Saccharomyces cerevisiae S288C: one gene and its partner. The gene in region 1 interacts genetically with each later gene. Each region holds a gene or a part of one and is shown on either strand. Other genes may lie near its edges.

Region 1 (3,756 bases):
CCGTACATATTCCAATTCTCGTCTTGCAAAGGAAAAATAACCGCGCTTACCCATCAGATATGATTTATGATACATGTACACTTGATTTTCTATTTAGGAATCTCTGTTTGCATAAGAGCTGCTCTTATGTTTGGGGACAAATACAAAGTTCTCGTCGGTTTTACCGAAAAATAGATCACTTAGCTTGATCCAATCATTAACATCCGTACTACCCATTAGAGTTTCAAGTTCGTCTCTTCCACACCAGTTTGGCGGTCTCTCATTCAACTTCACAGGGTATCTTTCACAAATACCCATGGGGACATACCTATGAAAAAAGGACATGAACTCGCAGAAGAATCTACGACATTGAGAAATGCCGTATTCGTCGGTGCCCCAGTGTTCCATAGAGAACTGCGCATAATCCCTTAAAATGTCTAATCTTTCCGTACTTGTCTTGTCTAGATACTGCTGCGACTCAACCTCTTCAAAAATCCATGGTTTGATCAGGGCCCCTCGAGCAACCATAACACTATCAATATTTTCATTTCCGTTCAAATAGCGGTACCAGTCTTCAAAATTGTTGACATCACCATTTCCGACAAATTGAATTCTGTTCTTGGAATCCCTGCCTTCTTTGCCTTGTTCGGTTTCGATGAAATCCGCTTCGGCGGATCTCAAGGTGTCAGCCACTTGACTCACGTAGTCCCAATCCGCAGACTTAGTGTACCTTTGTTGCCTAGACCTACCGTGTAAGGTAATCGCAGCCACATCAGTTTCGTTAACCAGTCTTTTGACTAACCCTTCCGCGATAGGATGACCTTCCTTTGTACCTGTTCTGATCTTCACCGTGATAGGAATATCTTTCGATACGTAGTTCATCGCGTTTAAACAACGAATCATTCTTGCAGGGTTATCCAGCAGGGCGCTACCAGAACCTTGTCTGTATAGCAAATCGATGGGGCAGCCAGAGTTTAAGTTGATTTCACTTATTTCACTGACGGAGTTTGCGAGTGCTTCTGCAGCCTTTGCCGCCTGCCAGGCTTTAGAACAGGCCACTTGAACCCCGAACCCGGGGAACTCTGATGTGTGAGCTTTAGGTAACGCCCACTCAGAATTAGTTCCTTGAATTAAGGGAACTGCCAAGGCCATTTCCGAATATGTCACATCTGCACCTAACTTTCTCATTAGACGACGGTATGGTAAATTGCCTACGGTTGTCAATGGCGACACGATTTTTTTGTGGTACAAATCCAGTGGCTTTTTTTCTTGAGCAAAATAACGAGTGTCCTTGTACTTCAAGTATACTTCACGCTGTTTCATTCTATGTTCTGACAATTCTTTGTTCCTCTGTTCGACTTGGGGGGCAACTGGTTGTTCCACATCTGGGTCTTGTTTCTTCAGCTGTGGCGTTGACTCAACTTCTTCTTCTGGCTTCATGGAATCTCTACATTCTTGTTGGAAAGAGTCGATGATTTCCAATATTTCATTACTTTTTGTGAAAGGAAATCTTCTTTTTATAAGATCGAGTTTTCTTTCCGGTGAGATATGGTTTACCTCACCTTTAACGGACCATATTGTTTGCGCATCTGGATCAATCTCCTTCTTCGATATTAGGATATTATCTTCTTTATTCAGATGAGACGATAAAAATCTGCATTTGAATCCCATGGGGCAAAATCCCAACGAGTTGAAGACCGGACAGGAAGGAAATATATTACTTTCAACTTCAGGCTTTTTTGTTGAAAGGTACAGATTGATATCGTGAACAAACCTACAGTTATCACCAAAGGAGCATTTAGATATATCGCCATGGATCAAGCGTGGGCACAAGACATTCTGTTCCTTGACCTGCCTGTTATCTCTATTCTTGTTTTGCCCACGCTTCTTACCTCTTCCGTTCTTATTTTTCTTATTAGTCCCACCTGCAAACTCGTTTGTCATTCTGTCGGAAGACATCTCTTCATCATAGATGGCGACCTTCTGGTTTTCATTCTGCTTCAATGGTACAATATATTCTGGTTTGATATGTGCAATACCTTTGGACGGGGAAGTGTCTTGTCTCTTCACGGTTGAGTTGTCGTCGCCAACAATAGAGCGTTTTTCAGCGTTTTGCTCCATCAATAATGTTTAGAAGTTGCCTTTTTTTCCTATTCTGAGTTCATTAATGTTTCATTACTGCTCATCTCATCACTACACATTCGAACTAAATTCTTCATAACTTTAACTAGATCTTATGAAACTTTTCAAAAATGGTGCACGGGCTTTCTGTATATTGAACTTTCCGTCGCTTTTCGGAGCTACAATTCCCCTACCCGGCTTGTCGGCATTAAGTCTCTTCATCCCGTGTACTATTACCCGACAGGTTTCTGCGGCATGTTCTGTGGAACGACGGTACGGGCGGTGACTGGGTGCCAAACAGTGCGGCGTTCCCGTGCGCAAGGTGGTCTGCGGTAGGAAAAAGAAACAAAACGCGCCTACGTCGTGCAAGGGGACAGGATTTTGTCAGTTACATAATAAGGAGCAATTTCGAATCAATTGAAATTTGGAACAAATGGGCGATGCATTCGTTAAAAGGCGATTTTGTATCAAATAACGTCACTATCAGCCATTGTCACTTGCCACTGTCGCCTGCCACCGCTATTGCCATTATCATTTGCTTTCGCATCGTCACCGATTTAAAGCTCTCTAGGCTAACGTACGCATTTTACCTCCCAGGCCCTATCTCTTTTCTACCTGTCATCCCTATATAACGTCTTGTACATTCTAGTGGCTCCGTTAACAAGGTTTGACAAATATTACAATCAAAGAAGGATAGCGCTAGTCAATCTAATCATTAAGTTCGCTTATAAAGAGAAGGAAAGCTAGATTTTTTTTCTACTTCAATTACATATCGGTGCTTCTCTCTGGTGGTTTTCTGTTTTTCTAATATTGATCGATTTTACGGTGAGTTAAACTACTTCCTTTTATCGCAATATCATATTTAGAGCGAGAAAGCAAGAAGAATAAAGCTAGGAGAAAAAAGCGCCACGATACATTCATACTAAGTTTATAATATACCGGTCGTCTTTTGGCTTTCTGATACCATATTATATCCTCGAAACACTTTCTCTGGATTCACCTACTATTAATCACCTCAAGATTTCACTTGTAAGGCGTTTTCAAATTTATTGTTATTAAAAGACATATTCATATTCAGTATTTTTATTTTTCTTCGAAACAGGAAAAGCTTATCTGAGTATGGATTTTACAACAATGACTATGGCAAGCAATATGGCTACTAGTACTACTACGACGGCTACATCGGCACATGCATCTATAAATTCGTCATCAAACTTTAATATTGATATTGATTCGAACCAGAATACTCCTTCCATTTTGATAAATAACAATTCGGATTCTTCTAATGGAAAAAACACAGATTTTAACGGCGTCAATAATATTCACCAAAAAAATATCATGAATAATACAAATAATGTTCATTTGTACTCTCCAAATATAATGGACCAAACGCTACTAACTCCACAGGACATTGCCAAGTTACGGAGAGAATCAATAGCCCATTCTCAAGGGATGGGTGGTGTTTCATGGGGATCCATTAGTGTTGGTTCTTGGTTAAGAGATGAAATTATTAGCCGTAGAAATAGTATTGTACCTGCATCAGCAAACGGTGCTGCCTCCGCTGCCGCTTCTGCAACCACTACTGCCACTAATACTTTGCAGATTCAACAACCAACTAAGAGACCCTCTGTTAGTAATCCGCCTTACCATAGAGGG
Region 2 (3,756 bases), on another chromosome or scaffold:
GGCAAGTAAGAGGCACTATTACTGATGTGATTTCGACCATTGACAAAATGCTTCACAACCCTGATGAATCGGACTGGGATAAATCAACATTTGGACTGTCGCCTGTTAAGATATAACTGAAAAAAGAGGGGAATTTTTAGATACTGAAATGATATTTTAGAATAACCAGACTATATATAAGGATAAATTACAAAAAATTAACTAATAGATAAGATTTAAATATAAAAGATATGCAACTAGAAAAGTCTTATCAATCTCCTTATTTCTTAGCAGCCTTTTGAGCAGCCTTGGTAACCTTAGCGGCCTTTTCAGTCTTGTCAACAGACTTGATAACACCGACAGCGACAGTTTGTCTCATGTCTCTGACAGCGAATCTACCTAATGGTGGGTATTCACTGAAAGCTTCAACACACATTGGCTTAGATGGAACGAACTTGACCAAAGCAGCGTCACCGGACTTCAAGAACTTTGGATGGTCTTCCAACTTCTTACCAGATCTTCTGTCGTTCTTTTCCAACAATTCGTCGAATCTACAAGCAATGTGAGCAGTGTGACAATCCAAAACTGGAGAGTAACCAGCAGAGATTTGACCTGGATGGTTCAAAACAATGACGGTAGCGTTGAAAGAAGCGCAACCCTTTGGTGGATCGTTCTTAGCGTCACCACAGACGTTACCTCTTCTGATTTCCTTAACGGAAACGTTCTTGACGTTGAAACCAACGTTGTCACCTGGAACACCTTGTTCCAATTGTTCGTGATGCATTTCAACGGACTTGACTTCAGTGGTAACACCAGCTGGGGCAAAAGTAACAACCATACCTGGCTTGATGACACCGGTTTCAACTCTACCGACTGGCACAGTACCAATACCACCAATCTTGTAAACATCTTGCAATGGCAATCTCAATGGCTTGTCAGTTGGTCTAGATGGTTGTTCAATGGCGTCAATGGCTTCCAACAAAGTCTTACCCTTGACGACACCGGCCTTGGTTTCCTTTTCCCAACCCTTGTACCATGGAGCGTTGGTGGTAGCTTCAATCATGTTGTCACCGTTCCAACCAGAGATTGGGACGAATGGAACAGTCTTTGGGTTGTAACCAACCTTCTTGATAAAGTTGGAGGTTTCCTTGACAATTTCTTGGAATCTGGATTCGTCCCATTTGACGGAGTCCATCTTGTTGACAGCAACAATCAATTGTCTAACACCCAAGGTGAAAGCCAACAAAGCGTGTTCTCTGGTTTGACCATCCTTAGAGATACCGGCTTCGAATTCACCGACACCACCAGCAATAATCAAGATAGCACAGTCAGCTTGAGAAGTACCAGTAATCATGTTCTTGATGAAATCTCTGTGACCTGGAGCATCAATAACGGTAACTTGGTACTTTGGAGTTTCGAACTTCCACAAAGCAATATCGATAGTGATACCTCTTTCTCTTTCAGCCTTTAACTTGTCCAAAACCCAAGCGTACTTGAAAGAACCCTTACCTAATTCAGCGGCTTCCTTTTCGAACTTTTCGATGGTTCTCTTGTCAATACCACCACACTTGTAAATCAAATGACCGGTAGTGGTAGACTTACCAGAATCGACATGACCGATAACGACAACGTTAATGTGAGACTTCTCTTTACCCATTTTGTAATTAAAACTTAGATTAGATTGCTATGCTTTCTTTCTAATGAGCAAGAAGTAAAAAAAGTTGTAATAGAACAAGAAAAATGAAACTGAAACTTGAGAAATTGAAGACCGTTTATTAACTTAAATATCAATGGGAGGTCATCGAAAGAGAAAAAAATCAAAAAAAAAAATTTTCAAGAAAAAGAAACGTGATAAAAATTTTTATTGCCTTTTTCGACGAAGAAAAAGAAACGAGGCGGTCTCTTTTTTCTTTTCCAAACCTTTAGTACGGGTAATTAACGACACCCTAGAGGAAGAAAGAGGGGAAATTTAGTATGCTGTGCTTGGGTGTTTTGAAGTGGTACGGCGATGCGCGGAGTCCGAGAAAATCTGGAAGAGTAAAAAAGGAGTAGAAACATTTTGAAGCTATGGTGTGTGGGGGATCACTTGTGGGGGATTGGGTGTGATGTAAGGATTCGCGGTCCTCGAAAATTAAAAGTCCAACGCGCCTGTTGCTTCCTATGTGATATGTATTATATGTAATATGCATAAATATATCTACTGCATTGTATTTTGAACGTACAAAGTATGCATTGTTTATACGCTATTATCAGCCAAAGTTGGGTGGTCGCTTTCTGTTGTATGACTATTGATGTCTAGGCTGTCAATAATTTCGTTTTGAGCCTCCATGTCTCTGAAGAACTCCCTGTTGGCAAGGCTGGACGAAGAGGCAGATGGGGATGACCGTAGTCTTATGCCCCCTTGACGGCTGTTCCTGCCTCTGACTAAAGACCTCATTAAAGATTTCGTGAACCTTCTTGTCGTCTTAATTATCCCGTTGAAAAATTTACTCCAGCGAGACCCGTCCTCTATGAGGTCCCAGTGTGGTTGCTCATTTAAAGATGGCGATATGTCGTGTAACTCGTCGTCGTTTTTCAAATGCCTATTTAGTTTAGCATAGATCCATCTTCTCCCCGCAAATTCGACTAAAAAGAATATAGCGAAGATACCGATGAAGATACCCAAAACGTTAACTTCATTCTTTTTGTTTGAGGTGGGGCACGCATGAATGCTGCGGACTTCGAAGAAATACGAGCAATTGTGTAGGTTTCCAATGTATGATATCTGGGCCTTTGATTGAATTTCTTTATCGCAGACAAAATTCAATAAAGTTGCCTTCTTGTCCTTCCCGTTCGGGCACATAGAGCCGTTTTCGTATTTGAGAGTTAATTTCTTGGCAGTAGAGCCGCCGACTAACGCAGGCCTTGTACTGAAGTCTCCAATCGATACTAAATTATTTTCGTTCAACTGGTCTACGTAAAAAGCGCCCGTTAGATTGGACAGTTGTTGCGACTCAGCTTCTCCGACAGGACTAGAGCAGATGCCTAACGTGAAGTTTGTATCGTAGCCCCAACCTCTCACTGACCACTTCGTCTTGGAGGATTCATGCTTGTTATTGCCAGAAATCTGTTTTTGGCCCTCCCTTAATTTGTTGGGAGTTGAAGATAGCTGTGATAGATCTATGTATGATCCGGTGACTGGGTTGGTTACCGCACAAAATAGATCTTCATCGTTTTCGCTTTTGGGTTTATCCGGATTTGCTAACGTTCTTTTTTGCTTGTGAGAAGCCCTATGTTCATTGGCTTCATGGGACAGTCCTGGACCATTGTATACATGCAAAAGTATTGGTATGGTAATGATTAGGACACATGATAGATATATTAGAGATGATCGTTTCAACATATTTTCCAGTGTGCGATCCTACAGTATGTTTTATGTTCTATAAAATAAAGCCCTTTTTTGAGAAGTAGTATGCTTAGTAAGAGTCTCCTGTAGTTTTGCGTTCTTATTATTGAAATTGAAATACTTGGCATTTTCTTCAAAACTTAACCCTTCTTGTTTCGGATACCTCTTGTACCTGCACCCGAAAGGGAAACGCGGCCAAATACAGCCGCAAAGTGACAGTAATGTGAATAAGTATAAGAAAGGATTAGTGAGCGGGAACTACAGTTTGGTAAATAATTAATTTGAAATTTACTGCCAAGGTAGAAAGGTGTCTTTTTTTGAATTTTTTTTTTTTTTTTTCAGAAGAAGGTTTTTCTTTTTTTTTGCTGAATATTTTCTATAATTATTTAGTG

The links.
Region 2: mutations in DUS3 (region 1) and TEF1 impair growth when combined (synthetic growth defect), as found in Saccharomyces cerevisiae (one study listed by BioGRID).

The regions. Positions count from the first base shown.
Region 1 is NC_001144.5:922,349-926,104, forward strand, and holds DUS3 (tRNA dihydrouridine synthase DUS3), read right to left. Parts: upstream 2,101-3,756; coding exon 94-2,100; downstream 1-93. Other genes in the region: zinc-coordinating transcription factor SFP1, read left to right, coding at 3,220-3,756.
Region 2 is NC_001148.4:698,474-702,229, reverse strand, and holds TEF1 (translation elongation factor EF-1 alpha), read right to left. Parts: upstream 1,637-3,756; coding exon 260-1,636; downstream 1-259. Other genes in the region: GRS2 (putative glycine--tRNA ligase), read left to right, coding at 1-116; MRL1 (Mrl1p), read right to left, coding at 2,216-3,361. UniProt on the Saccharomyces cerevisiae protein: GTP-binding component of the eukaryotic elongation factor 1 complex (eEF1). In its active GTP-bound form, binds to and delivers aminoacyl-tRNA to the A-site of ribosomes during protein biosynthesis.